Linked DNA regions of Oreochromis niloticus. The protein of the gene in region 1 binds, or shares a complex with, the protein of each later gene. Links are inferred from orthologs where the notes say so. Each region holds a gene or a part of one and is shown in the gene's direction. Other genes may lie near its edges.

Region 1 (7,076 bases):
GAGATGGCTGGGCTCATTTATTCAGAAAGATTGATGGGTGGATGGTCAAAAGTTTAAAAGGTGCAGCTTTTTAAATTATATATTTCTACCTGTCTAAAAATGTAAAATCTTCAAACAATATATTAATATTAATTAATATACTGTAAATGATCTCTGGCCCTAGACTGGGAACTGTTGATTTAAAAGCAAAAGATTAGTTAATAAAAATACATTCAAAGGTCCATTACGTGGAGGAAAATGTACACAATCTTATGTTAAAACATGTATACAGTAGTTTCAAAATTAATCTTAGTGGTATTACAGCTAGTTATGACACAATCCAAGCAGCAGAAGCATCTTGTTCAGCAGCCTTTCACCAAGGACAAGTTACAAATATTTAATTATATAAAGTATGAGCCGTCAGATATTAGCACTTCTTGCTTCTAAGGTAAATCAAGCAGGTTATGTTGAGCATATAGGTCCTCTGTGATCTGGTACACCTCAGAGATGAGAGGTAGGGCCTCCCCCAGCTTGGCCACAACTTGCTCAGGCGGGCCAACATTCATTACTTCGAAAAAGGTTTGGCGACCAGGAAGCACGAGGAACGCCATGCCCGCAGCCTTACGGATCATCCACGGATGGTGCTGGGCAAGGGACTCGTTGTAGGCCTCTGCACACAGGGCAGATGTTTTACTGTCTTCTGTGCTGGTGCGCAGGCGATCCAGGAAGAGCTCCAGCCACCTCAGAGCGCGGTGGAGCCTCAGCAGAGTACGACAGCCAGACTCTGGGTGGCTTCCTTTCTTGTTCACATCCACGAGATTATTGTCCAGTTCGTATTTTACCATCGACTGCACAGTAGCATAGTGAGAAGCGTTCTCACCCTTCATATAACTCACAAGGATCTGGATCTTGCCGACAGCATCCTTAGAAATGAAGCCAAAGACACTTCCCAAGCTGTTCAGAAACCTATTACAAGGAGTAAAAACACACTCAGTTAACACCTGGGTGTCCTTTTGGTCTACTATTACAGCTGAGAGTATAATCAGTAAATTCTAAATGTCTGCAAATTATAATCAGTTCAGTTCACATGAGAAATTCCAAGAATTCACTCACAGACCAGAGCTGAAGCTCAACTCTTTCCCTTTTATGCTGTTCCTGCTGCAAAATATTTCACATACTTTTCACAATAAAAATGCAACATTTATGAAAGCTGCTGCAATTTGAATTTCAATTATAATTACAAATTCCAGTCATTTCTAAAATATTATCAAGATGCAGTTATTATTGTGCCTCAGCCTGTTTCGTAATGCTATCGTGTTGCCTTTGATTCCTTTACTTTTATTTTTTGCTCCTAAAATTGAAGAGAGTCCAAACAATACCCTCTGTCAAGCTGTTGTGTGTTTAGTCAGTTGAATTTTAAGTTAGTTGTATTTCAGTGAACCTAACTAACTAACTAAACCTTATAATCAAACAGCCCTGAAAGTCACACCGTTTGTTGCTGTGTGACATTCAGGATTTTTGTGGTTCAGAGTGGGCCTTCAAAAGGGCCTGGCAGGGCACGCAAGCACAATCGATTGATGTAAAGTAAAGGCAATGAGTTTGTGTTACCTTAATTAAACAATATTAAATGAATTTTATGGATATTTTGACCCTTTGATAAACAAAACTGTTTGTTTGCCTTTTGAATGCAACAAAACCCTCACTATACAGCTCTGGTATTCGTTTCTTTTTTCTATTGAATCCTTTAATTGCTCTTATATAAGAAAAACATGGAGCTTTAAAAAGGAACGCTCATGCTAGCATTACCAGTTTTGCAAATACTTTGTATTGTCGGCCTGCTTCTGTCATCACATTTTATTGATTTTTTTTAAAACCAGAAAGTCCACTGAGAATAAAATCTCTTTTTCCACAGAGACCTAGCCAAGAAGGTACACTAATACCAGGAATATGATCCTGGGATCAGTCTGTCGGTAAAGTAGACCCTTTCATATGTTTTGATCAGCCACCTATCCCAGCCTGTGATATGACCCTTGTTTCACAGACATTCGACTGCTGTAGTTTTGCAATTGAAACTACAATATAACTTTCAATACAATCCAATTTTATTTATTTAAAAATCACAAAAGTCACCTTAAAGTGCTTAACACTATAAGGCACAATAACCCTACAATAATACAGAGAAACCCCAACAATCAGACAACCCCCTATTAACAAGCATTTTGGCAACAGTGGGAAAGAACATTTCCTTTTAACAGGAAGAAACCTGTTAAAAGGGAGAACCAGGCTCAGTCAGGGGCAGCCATCTGGTGCAAGCAGTTGGGGCTGAGGGAAAGGAGACATGATACTGAGGCACAAAGTTGGATGCAGAAAACAGAATTGAACAAAAGGGGGATTTGATTTCAGGTTATACAATTGATTTTGAAAAGAGCTTTAATGTGTTTTTCAAACCTGTGGACATCTCCTGCAATAATGAAGCTGTAAGGACTCATAAAATAATTAATTAAAAAGCAGCAAATTTTAGCCCACCCCTATGTTCTTTGAGGGTCTGTAACCTGGAAAGTTTTCATGCCATGAAGGTGACACTTTTATTTATTCATTAAACATATGAAACTTAACATGTATGTATATATATATATATATATATATATATATATATATATATATATATATATATATATATAGAGAGAGAGAGAGAGAGAGAGAGAGAGAGAGAGAGAGAGAGAGAGAGAGATAGATAGATAGATAGATAGATAGATAGATAGATAGATAGATAGATAGATAGATAGATAGATAGATAGAGAGAGAGAGATTTTTTTTTTAAAGAAGAAGAGTCAGCTAGATCAGATATAAATCTCAAGACTTGATCTTAGCTCACAGTAAACACTCTGTCCTACATTTACCTTGCTGTGATCTGCTCGCCTTAGTTTACTTCTACACTGATCACTTACTTTACAAGCCCACGCCATCCAGCGACGTACTGTTCTAGATAGACTTCTTTATTTTCCGACAGACACAACTTAAAAGTGTCTAGGACCTCCTGGAGGGAGAACTTCTGGTCTTCTGAGCCTGCCATGGTTTCTACCAGGAAGTGCAAATGACACAAACAGGCACGTAAAAAATGAATGAAAAAAATGTATTTCGGGGCTACAAACAAACCGGAACTGGGTAAAAATGTAAGCCCTGTGGTAAACGATCAAGAAGTGAACTCGTCACCTACAAGAAAAGTTAAAATTGAAAGAAAAATTACGCATTTCTTTTTCTCGACAACGTGAAGTGACAGATCCTGTCTGTTCTTATCCGGTTCTACTGCGCAGGCTCTAAATTGGCGACTTTGTCTTCAAAATAAAAGCGAGGGAAATTTTTACCTTAATTGCTTCTTGGACTTATTGAAAGAAGTTATTATAACCCAAACACTGATCCCCCCGCACCTAAACAAATATTTTTGTTGCATAAACGTCACTGATGTGTGAAAAATAAAAAGTGACAAACAACATAGCCTTTGTATGCCAGAAATGAACTTTTATAAATGAATGCACCTGAAATCCCTGCAGGCAGTGCTGAAATTAGGTTAAAAAAAAAGAGCTCCAGACAGGTGAACTGCTACCTGAAATGTCACTTGAAATGGTAACTGGTGTGTAGGCAGTGAAGCAATAATAAGTAAGCAAAGAGTAAGAAGCAGCTGGGCAGGATGAGAGGACTTTAAATATCACTTTGGCCAGTTATCCCGTGACACCGTTTCAGTTTCCAAACCATAGCAGGTCTTATTAGCATCTTGTAAACCTTCCCTTTTATTCTTAATGCTATCCAGACTACGTGATGCCACTTTTTCTTGGTTACTCATTTTTAGAGGGCTCATACTCCTTATGCTGAAAATCTATTCACACATCTATCAGTTCAGTATAATTAAAAGTGGAAGACATAGTGTTTCTTACAAGAAATATAGACACTTGAATTTGTTTTCAAGGTTTGCTTGAAAGGAAGTATAGATTATCAAAATGACATATGGAAATAGTCTTCAAAACATTACCCAGGTGCTTTCCACCTGTTTTCTACAGGCTTTCATAGCAAGGGGTGTATTATTGTGAAAGCACTGGACGGAAGTCCTTCCTGTTAGCCCGACGCTGATAAAAAAATAAAGTCGGTGCATGAAATTAGCTGCATGTTTTAAAGCTACACACAATAAACGTTCCCATATATTTCAGAAGTTATTCAGCTGACACATCCTGGACGTTTAGGTCACCTTGGTGTCATTTACCTGTGTATATAAAAAAAAGGCTGCCCAATGAAAAAGCATGCCTGAAATAAAAGTAACGCCACTCGGTGAGTACCGAAGCTAGCTAGCTAGCTGCTGCGCACTGTTGTGTTTATTACCATTACTAAAGGAGTGTAATTCTGAATTTTTATCTTCTGTTCTGCCCTTCCAAGGTGCTGGACAGGATGTGGGCAGGAGCTGCATCCTCGTCTCCATCGGAGGCAAAAATATAATGCTGGACTGTGGGATGCACATGGGCTACAACGATGATGTGAGTGACATAGTGCATTTGTTATAGCAAACATTACAGTCATGTAATTTAAACACTATGGCATTTTTTACCCTTATTGGTTTCCTTTATCTTATTAGTAGTTATAAACAACCTGCACATAGCATACTGACAAGAATCCCAAATCAAAGCCCTACATGAGTCTTGGGCAAAATTAAAGACTCTAAAGTGAAACAGAAGTGTTTCAAACATGACAGCAAAAGTTAAGACTACCTAGGCTGCTTTACACTGGGAAGGTTTACAAGACTGTAGTGAGATCTGCTGACAAAAAGACAGGAGGCAGGTCTGAAGAAGTTAAGATTTTCAATAGGATTAGAAATGAGTACGTCTGAGAGACATTTCATGTTGAGTGATTTGAAGAGCTAAGGCTGAGATGGTTTGGACATGTTGGAGTGTTTGGGGGTTTTTTTTGTTTGTTAACATATATAGTTTTCCTTAACCACATTGAGGGCTGAAGCGCAATTTCCAACCCTTCTATTTTGCTGATGTGTGCTATACAGGTTTTGGCAAATGTTTTGGGGCTTTTGGGGAGCCAGCAGATATCTGTATGCAGTTTTGGAGTTGTTACTCAGAAAAGTAATGTGGTACACATTACTGTTTACTTTTTGTAAAATGAATGCAGTATATTTCTAAATTACTCATCGGAGAAGTTAATTCATTACACTGCTACTACTAACATCACTTTCACATTCCTGTGTAACTTGACCTGAAATACAGTGTCACATAATTATCATTTAATATAAACCCATGACTACAGTCCCACACACTGACACAAATACCTATCCTAATGAGGACACTAATGATATTTCTTATTTAAAACCAACAATAACACAAAGTAAAATTGAAAATCAGCCCAAAGAGTCTTAAAAGGGGTAACCACAGTGATTCTACTTAAGAAGATAGAGAGAAGAGTCTGACTGCTCATCAATGCTTTCGTTACATGTTGAAGATCAGGCTCTACCTGCTGGGCCTGGGTCTGCATACACTCAGCTTGAACATAACTTTGGGTTCTTCACTTTTTTTGTGTTAGCCTGCTGTCTGCGGGATGTTTTTGAAGAACCGATGGTGTGTTAGCAGTATCACACAGTTGTTACTGTCTTGGACTGTCTTTGATCCTTACCATCAAATTTATTGCAATAAAAGGACAAAGTGGGGGTTGGTGGATCAGACGGTGGTCTGAAGTCTGACGATCCCTGGTTTCAAAAACTAGCTTGTGGTATATGGAACATCACTTTTTGGGTGGAGAAGGAGCCTGAGTTGGTGTGTGAGGATGAGAGATTCAAATTTGATATAGTTGGACTCACCTCAGCGAGTAGCTCAGGCAATGGAACCTCTTGAGTTGCCCTACAGTAGGTGAGAGCAGACAGCTTGTGTTCCCTACTTGTACGTTGAGGTTTTCTCCAATGGATGAGAGGGTTGCTTCTTTGCGCCTTTGAGTCAGGAAACGCGCATTGACTATCGTTTGTGTCTGCGCACTAACTGACAGTTCAGAATACCCAGACACTGAGTGGGGTGGGACTCTGTTATTCAGTGATTACATTGGCAGTAAAGGTGTGACCAAGCTGGCGGAGGTGGGTGAGGTGGGCTGGGCTTCTCTATGCAAACTGCTGGTATTTGTGTACATTCTGACTTGGAATGCATTTTAAAAACAGCTATTATGAAACAGTTCTTCTAGAAAAGAGACTCTCCTTTTGAATGCACTGTTTCTACCTTTGAAAGAAGAAGATTTCCATTTAGTAACAGTCCTATAACAGATTGTTTTATCATTGCAGAGACGTTTCCCAGACTTTTCTTATATAACACAGAATGGGCGTCTGACAGATTTCTTAGACTGTGTGATCATCAGGTTTGTTGTCATATTTGTTATCTTCTTTATATTGCACCTTTTTTTAAATCATCTCAACCTTGTGTGTAACATAGTACACCTTTCTACGTTTTTCAGCCATTTCCACTTGGACCACTGCGGTGCTCTGCCCTACATGAGTGAGATGGTGGGCTATGATGGACCCATCTACATGACCCATCCCACCAAAGCCATTTGTCCCATTTTACTGGAAGATTTCCGGAAGATCACCGTTGACAAAAAAGGAGAAACCAACTTCTTCACCTCGCAGATGATCAAGGACTGCATGAAGAAAGTGATTCCTTTGAACCTGCACCAGACTGTCCAGGTGCAGTGCTGACATCATTTTTGACCACACACGCACACACATCTAATAGTTGCTTCTGCGCCAGCTGCTGCTTCTCTTTTGATGGCAATTCAAGCTGTTTGTTTTGTGCTGGTGGCAGGTGGATGATGAGCTGGAGATCAAGGCGTACTATGCAGGCCATGTCCTGGGAGCTGCTATGGTTCACATCAAAGTGGGATCAGAGTCTGTGGTCTACACCGTAAGTGTAAACAAGTCTGCGCTCTGTCACAGTAGGTGAATTTATCAACTGCAATCTGAGAATAATTTCTTTTTATTTTAGGGTGACTATAACATGACACCGGACAGGCATTTAGGGTAAGTGAACTTTACTGCATTTCTTGATAATCTTCTGGTCTTTATGTCAACA
Region 2 (7,601 bases), on another chromosome or scaffold:
GCCATGAAATTGCAGTGTTTCTGGGCCCTCAAGGTGTCTTAACACATTAGTTTGGGGCTCTAAATTTTGAAGCCTCAGCGTTAGTGTTTTGGCTGCCACCAGAAATAAGTGCAAAGTTATCAGCTAAGGCCAAATCGAAAAACAACACAAATCAAAATTGAAGTAATGGACCAAGAGGATTTGGTTGGTCAGATTTTTCCTTTAAAAAAAACTGCTGAAGAGGTCCAAGGTGATATGTAACACACAGCTCTCTATGCTGGTATACCTGTCAGTCAACAAAGCCACACACTTATGTGTAAGCCTTAATAGTGTCCAGATGGATGGATTTAACCAAAGAAACTACAACTAAATAGTTGCAGTGAGGGGAGAAACTAACCATAGATACCTGGCTGTAAACATGGTTTTTAATGCTGTTAACTTGGGCTCGACTCACTTTTGGAGCCAACCTCAAGCCATCAAGCACTTGACTTGCAAACAAGAGCAATAAGACAGGATTGAGATACCTGCAACAGAGTCCTTCATGGTTTTACAAAGGCCTCTAGAAAGTATCAGAAAGGAGGTCACTTTTATTTTGGAGTATTTCACAGTTCTTATGTGGATCCCACCTCCAGCAGACTCAAAAAGCTCAACAAGCTGGAAGAGTTCTTCACAAGCAGGAAGGAAAATGGAGCAAATCCCCCATAAACTAAGGAATCACTGCATGTAAGATGGCATCAAATACAGAATACCATCTGGGACAGAGTTGGCTGGAAACTAAAAATGCCCCTCTTCTCATTCAAAATATTTAATCAAATAAGGACTTAAATCAATATCACAGAAGTAAATAAATAGTTATTTATTTGTGTAATGCTTTCTTGTACGCTGTCACTGAGTATTGCCAAACCTCTTTGTTTGTGAACCAATGTTGGTAAAGCAGTCTTCCTCACATCACAGACTGTGAAGAAATTCTGCACACTGTTTATTGTCTTTGCTTATTGGCAGAAAGCATTAGGACCTGCTGGGATCCTTTTGACGCTCAGCCGGAGGCAGTTATCCGGCTCGTCTGATAGATAGTCCAACAATTATCGTATCTGAGGAAAACCCAGGCTCTCCTGCTGCGAGTGTGAAACAACAGCTTTGGGACAGAGGCCATTCACATCTCTGTGGTGTGATAGACTCAGCAGTGACAGCTAATGTGAAACAGGCTGCTCTTTGTTGAAAGCATGTGGCTGCTGGTTTTGTAATATGTTAAATGTGTTTAGCGATGTGTGACTGTTTTACTGACTCATGAAACTCAGTGTTCAGTCGCTGCTGCTGAGTAAAATTTAGAAGCTTAAAAAATGAAAAGAATTTTAACAGGTGACGTCAGATATACACCCCAGATTTTAAATTTGTTTCCCGCAGCTTCCCACTGTCCAATCAATACATTTTATCAGATGCCCTTTTAATGATTCCTGGAGTCAGAATTTACACCACCTACACCATCTCCAGGAGGCTTGAGTGCCTTTCTTCTAAATAAACAATTGGATATGCAAAGGAGGATTCTTGAGTACTGCTCCACAAAATATCAACAGGGAGGTGCAAAAAGCCTTTAAAGCCACTCAGGCTGAAAATTGCCAATTAAAAGAGGGAAGAAAAGAAGCCATGCAGCGCATCAAAGAGATGTTGGCCAGAAAGTTCACAATGTGCAGCAGCCTGTGTGAGTATGAACTGAAAACAGAAAAAAAGCAAGATGTTATCATTGTACAAAGAGGAGTGTGATGCTGACCACATTGCTTGAGGTGGATGGAAAGGAAAAAGTTGCTGGACAACCAGCAGGAGGGCCAGTTCAGAGGCTGATAATCCATTTAGCGATTGCCAGGAAGAGGTAAAAAGGCGGCAGTGAAATACTGGACCTGGACACATGGGCTTATTGTAAATGTTCAAAAGAGACAAAACCTTGATCAGGCGAAATCCAGGATGCCACAGAAGAGCCTGAGTGGGGGTGACAGAAAGAGAAAAGAAAAGAAATGCTTGCATAGAAACTATAAGAAACATGGCCTGGATAAAGAAAGTCACGAAAAGAAATAACCTAAAGGAAAGCAGCTGAGAAAGAGAAAGAAGAAAGAATGGAAGAAGGACAAGAAACAACTGACAAAAGTCAAAGTAAGCAGTAAAAGAAGAAAAGAAACAGCTGAAAAAGCAAGAAAAAGAGGCAAAGAAGACAAAAGGGGCAGGGGGAGAAAGGGAAGAGTGGCAACTGGATTTGAAAGAAAAGCATGTGATGTCTACAGGAAAGTGAAAGCTGCTGATTCAGCTCAGGCTGAACAGGGGGTTCCTCTTCCTTTTCCTTTCTCCATTCTCCCAGCTTCATCTTCTTCACCCTCACCTCTTCAACTTTAATGCACTGCCAGCTCTGTCTTTCCTTGCTATCTGTCAGCAGCATCATTTTATCGTATCTAAAGCACTGACAGACCAATATTTTAGTGTCTTACTAAATGAGGATTCAGACATGATAACCTCAAATCTTTGAAATAACTGTCACTGATTATTTTGTTAGAGCAAACAGTTCCTGCAGCCCTGTACGCAGGCACGCACGTCTTCACTGTCCTGTACAGACTCTGATTTGGACTCACTTGTTTCTGAAGGAGTAACAGGAGAAATGGAAGGTTGAAATGTGACTCAGATTGTCTGCTGTGAGACAGTCGGAGGAACAGAACGACAGGACTGCTGCTGAGGAGGAGGAGGAGGAGAAGAAAGCGGCAAACAACAGCCGGAGAGATGAAGCTTTGAGCATGGTGGGATTGATGAGGTTTCAGCTGTTGTCCTGGAGAAAATTGAGGACAAATATAAGCTGCACTCATGGCTTGAATATTTTATCATTTAACTAGAAACGCCCAGCATCCCAAACATAACATCTGTTTTTGGTTTGTTTTCCTTCTGGCAGCTTCATTTAATCACATTATCAAAATAAACTTTTACTCTGTTGCTCTGCTAAAGGGGGAAATATTCCCCAAGTACACCATGCTTTATTTACAAAATTCAAAATCTGTTAATCGCTCTCAACTATTTTGCATTCGTTAGACTGATAGAGACAACCGGAAGCACAGCTTAAAGGCTGGAGGAGGGTAAACATCCCAAAAGTTGTCTTGAAAATATTCTTCTGAGACTCTTGGTAATTTCCTGTGCTTCCTTGTTACGCACTGTTGGCATTTTTATGACTTCCAATTCACTCATCTGTGTGGTATTTTATAATGAAGGCAGCTACAACAGGGCGTCTGTTGATGACAGCTGCTTTGTACTGTTTGGAAAAAAATGCTGCGTCTTCAGTTCATTAAGCCTCTGTGGCCATCTGAAGGCAGCAAACCATAAATGTGCTGTCAGAGTGCCGTAATATTAAGCACGGCCTTCCACTGCGTTTGTCTTCAAACACTCGTTTGGGCCTCCTTGAGATGACTGTTGTGAACTGGCACCGTGTACATGAAACTGAACAACTGTACGCGCATTAGACCGGTGGCTCGAAATCCTTCTAGTTATGCTGGAGACTTTGAGTTGTGTTAATAAATGGAAAATAGGCTGATATATATTCACCCCTTTATTACTTAAGCAAAGAACTTTTTACTGCAAGCTGCATCAGCTCATCCCCACAGCACTTTATTCTGCAGCTTTAAGCTCCTCAAGGATGCTTCAACACGCAGACTGCATGAGCTGGGAATCAAACCACCAACCTCATGATCGCGCCGTCCCGTTTTAACCTCATCTCTCTATGCTCACCTTCTTCTCTCTTCTTTTGCCGCCCCACACAGAACCTGGTTCCTCCAAGTGCTTACCCGTGGGAGATCGATTGTTGTGGTTTTCTCACTAACACTGTAGGGTCTTTACCTCACAACGTCAGCCACCTTGCTGTGAACTGGCACTATATAAATACAAGTGATTTGAGACTAAAAAGCAGTCTCAGAGCTACGTCCTCATGCTGGGATGCAAAATTCAGAACTTACTGTAAGTTCATCGTCAAATATCTAAAATTACTATTTTCTATTGAATCAGTTTAACAAGCGAATATCATGTGATTCGAATTTATTCCTGTATGCTGTTTTATCTTTTAATTGTATGTATGTAGATACCATCTGCTGTAAAGCTTGAAACCACTAATGAGAGTCTTGATATTTTAGGCCGCCTCTGGCTGTGTTGGCCTAAAATATCAAATTAAAAGTTAAAGAGGCTGTGCTGTGTTAGCTATGCCAGGGTTACCAAGAGAATAAATTTGCAAATCATCTTGCAGTGACTTGTGTTCTTCAGGCTGTAGAAAGCTGCATATGGAATCAAGCAAATTAGTGCTTTTGAATATCAGCTCATTCAGATATTTGTTTATTGCTTATTTTTGTCAGGGGGTCGTATACAAAAACAGCTCATATGGAGTCCATGCCAGCATCTGAACAGGGACTCAAACCAGCAACCTTTAGGCTACTAGTCAGCTGCACGGGCCTCTGTACTTGATTATCTGCTTCTTGCATTGATTAAGCTAGAACAGACCCTGCTGTTATTTTTGTTTCTATCTAAACTTAAATCCCTATATGTGATTTTAGATTGAGGCTCGCTTCCTCCAGACCAGCAGGTGGCGGTGTAGTTTTCATGAAGCCAAGAAGCAGTAGAATAAAAAGCAGAGGGAAATAAACAGGAAGTGGTGGATGAGCAACAGCACCCATGCCTGCAGGAGCTGTTGGGAGAGATGGAAGATGCAGAGTTTGATGATATTTTAGATGACTGGTTTATCGAGTCACTGAAAACGTGAGTAAACTTTTTACTTTGTTAGAACCGTCAAGTTTATATTTTTATTACTACTTGCTAACTAACATTACCAGTTTTGCAAAGCAAACTCTAACTTTAAGGCATTTTATCCTCCAGCAGCTTTAGATTGTTAATAAACACCGCAACAAAACGTTATTTATATGTACTTATTTTTATATTTAATTTATTTAAATTCGGCTTACGGATATCTCATCTAAAATTTAAATAAGCTCCAAATTGTCACCTTGTATTAGTTTATCTCCTACACTTAGCTTATTATTCGTGGTTTAAGATGTGTTATATGTGTGAATAGATTCATTTTCAAAATAAATTTAGTGAATTCGAGTTTCATAATCAAGACGAATTATATGATATGGTCTCTCGACTGTAGGAATCAAGTTGTAGGTAAAAAGAAAAATGGTCGCGTTGATTTTGTAGACAGAAAATATTAAATATCATAAATTGTGAATGGAGTCTGGTGTCGCGGTTAAAAGGCATTTGAAACAATGGGATAGTGTATCCCTTTATTGTCATTGTACATGTTCAACGACATGCTGGGTGCTCCACAGAGGCAGTGCAGGAAATCTAAATAGTTAGACAACAGGAATAAATACCAAACAGCACTACATACAAAGAAGAAGGTGCACAATAAAATGGACAATTTGCAAGGAGACACCAAACAACTTGAAATAAACATCAGGAATGCAGCTGTAGGGCTATTTTTGAAAGGTTTGCATAAGGCAGAGTGAATTTATATTTTTCTGAATTCCTTTAAAAAAAACCTTTTTAACTCAATATACTTTTTTAATCTTATAGAGTCACTACAACAAACATAAAGTGGGCTCACCTTCATTTTTGACTGTAGCGCTCAGCCATATATAAGTTCTGTCAAAATTGAGTTTCACTGTGTTTTATGATAAACTATACAGAAATTTTATTTTCCTTTAGGTACAAAGACCTTCATGTGTATCAGCTTGAACATCCCACCCAGGTCCTCGAGTGGACGTCAGGGAAGAGTAAGTTGATCTAATATTTTAAAATATGATGATGTGGGTTGAAAAACATGGTTCTGATTTTGCTGTTATAGAAGACAGCTTTTCAGCTCTTTTATTTATCAGCCAAATAATTTGTATTAATCAGTGTTTTTTGGTGTGTTTGTAGCGGTCTGTGTCGCAGGCTATAGTCAGTCCAAAAATGAAATTTTAGAACTTCGCTTGCCGCTGAAACTTCTCGCTGATGAAAATAAGGTAAAAATCAGGACATTAGTCCAAACTTTGAATTTATTTTTCTCTAGGAGGCGATTCAGATGTTACTCTGAACTTTTCCTGTTTGCTGTTGTGTTCAGAGTCTCTGCGCAGAGCGGGATTTTAAAGTTTCCCATGGTGGTTTCACAGATGGCCCGGTTCGCTGCCTCATACACATCCCTGGAACAAGGTGAGTTCAGACCAGTGCTGGATAAATTACCCTTATAAGTAACGTGTTACATTAAAGGTAAGGCCAGTCATTTTTGAGGTTATTTAATAGAAACAACTTCCAACAGGAGTATTTTGCAGCTTGTGGAGACCGCCACGTTCCTCCCCTGTATTTGTATTACCAGCTGCTAAGGACTTCACTTCTGACTAAAACTGTTTTATGCATGTGACAAAGGCAGAGGAGAAGAGAAGTCATGGGCATTCCTACGGTGCAGTGGAGCGACATTGAAATTCGTACCTGCAACTTCATACTCAAGATATGTTTGATCACCTTAGAAAAGGTCAACTTGACAAAAGAAATGAAAACGGGAAGGAAAGAGACAACACAACTGGCATCTTAATTAAATCAATCATCCTCTTCCTCCTCACCTCAAGCCTCATCACCCGATCTGAAGTCAGGGCTTTAACACAACAACAGCTGGTTATAAGTTAATATTATTGAAAATGTCTTTGAAGTGCATCTAATACTGGCTAACAGTGGGAAAAACAGCAGTGCAACCAACAGTTAAGTATATCCTTAATAACTCACCTCAGTATTGCTGTCATCAATCAGAAGTGAGCTTCTCTGACTTATTGGGCTGTACTGGACTAAGAAGCATCCACATCTATTTCCTCTGGAGGAGACTGTAAAACTTTTAACTGGTGGATGTTTATCACCCAGCATTGACAGCTGAGGTAAACAGTGGACTGACAGCCTTCCTAACAGAGGCAAAAACTCTTCGGCAGAGCCAGTCCAAACATGGCGTACAGTCTGTATCCAATGTTTTTGATCTCTCTTGGCTGACTAAAACATGTCTGTTCTACAGCAGCTACCATAGGTAGAATTATCCACTTTTAACAACTATATAATTTGGCGGTTAAGGAAACAACTCAGTTGACTACAGTCTACAATTTACTTCCATTATAAAGTAATCTGTTAGATTACAGCCTTATCTGCTGAGAAAATTAACTCCTTAACAATAATAAATACAACATTTCCTAAGCCCACGGCTGTATCCCAAGAAATCGGGGAGAGACAGAAACTTTGCAGATGCTTCAGGGTTTTATTCAGGAGCAGGAAAATGTAACATTTTAACAGTTGTTGATTACTTCTTTGAAAAGTACTTACCTGCTTATTTAAACTGAAAAATCAGCAGTAATTGGAGTACTGTTACTTTGTTTCATCAAACACTGGTTGTGACCCACTTCAGGGAGAGAAACTTGCTTTACTCTTTCCAAGGTTCTCTAATCCATGTGATGCCTTTTCCTGCACCAAACTTGGGTTTCAAAGCAATGAATGAAAAGAGTTCTCCTTCAAAAAAGGCATACTGAAAAGCACCCAGCAAGGCTAGAGCACAGAAATTATTTTATTCAGGTACTCTTTATATTTTCTACAGTTCAGTT

Evidence for each region. The genes of interacting proteins can lie anywhere in the genome.
Region 2: the proteins of ints11 (region 1) and wdr73 are in contact, whole or in part, in a cryo-EM structure (PDB 8R22), measured with the Homo sapiens proteins. The link is inferred for Oreochromis niloticus from reciprocal best matches to the Homo sapiens genes INTS11 and WDR73. Residues at the interface, in NP_060341.2 of Homo sapiens: Tyr206, Thr208, Thr209, Ile210, Arg211, Asp212, Ser213, Arg215, Cys216, Arg217, Glu218, Arg219, Asp220, Leu222, Lys223, Lys224, His226, Phe255, Arg258, Met259, Leu364, Val384, Glu385, Tyr386, Ser388, Lys418, Lys419, Glu421, Phe422, Gln425; in NP_116245.2 of Homo sapiens: Asp5, Asp6, Leu8, Val9, Ser11, Leu12, Tyr15, Gln16, Phe18, Tyr19, Ala20, Phe21, Asp22, Leu23, Glu50, Leu52, Arg59, Leu68, Phe69, Pro70, Glu71, Arg72, Asp73, Phe74, Lys75, Val76, Gly79, Phe81, Asp116, Ser117.

The regions. Positions count from the first base shown.
Region 1 is NC_031984.2:8,378,766-8,385,841, reverse strand, and holds the start of ints11 (integrator complex subunit 11), read left to right. Parts: upstream 1-4,075; 5' UTR 4,076-4,271; coding exon 4,272-4,299; intron 4,300-4,404; coding exon 4,405-4,502; intron 4,503-6,292; coding exon 6,293-6,366; intron 6,367-6,462; coding exon 6,463-6,691; intron 6,692-6,809; coding exon 6,810-6,908; intron 6,909-6,989; coding exon 6,990-7,024; intron 7,025-7,076. Other genes in the region: cptp (ceramide-1-phosphate transfer protein), read right to left, coding at 423-945, 2,928-3,057, 3,227-3,230.
Region 2 is NC_031976.2:29,726,396-29,733,996, reverse strand, and holds the start of wdr73 (integrator complex assembly factor WDR73), read left to right. Parts: upstream 1-4,594; 5' UTR 4,595-4,687; coding exon 4,688-4,746; intron 4,747-5,694; coding exon 5,695-5,762; intron 5,763-5,907; coding exon 5,908-5,993; intron 5,994-6,091; coding exon 6,092-6,180; intron 6,181-7,601. UniProt on the Homo sapiens protein: Component of a multiprotein complex required for the assembly of the RNA endonuclease module of the integrator complex. Associates with INTS9 and INTS11 in the cytoplasm, stabilizing the INTS9-INTS11 heterodimer and blocking the active site of INTS11.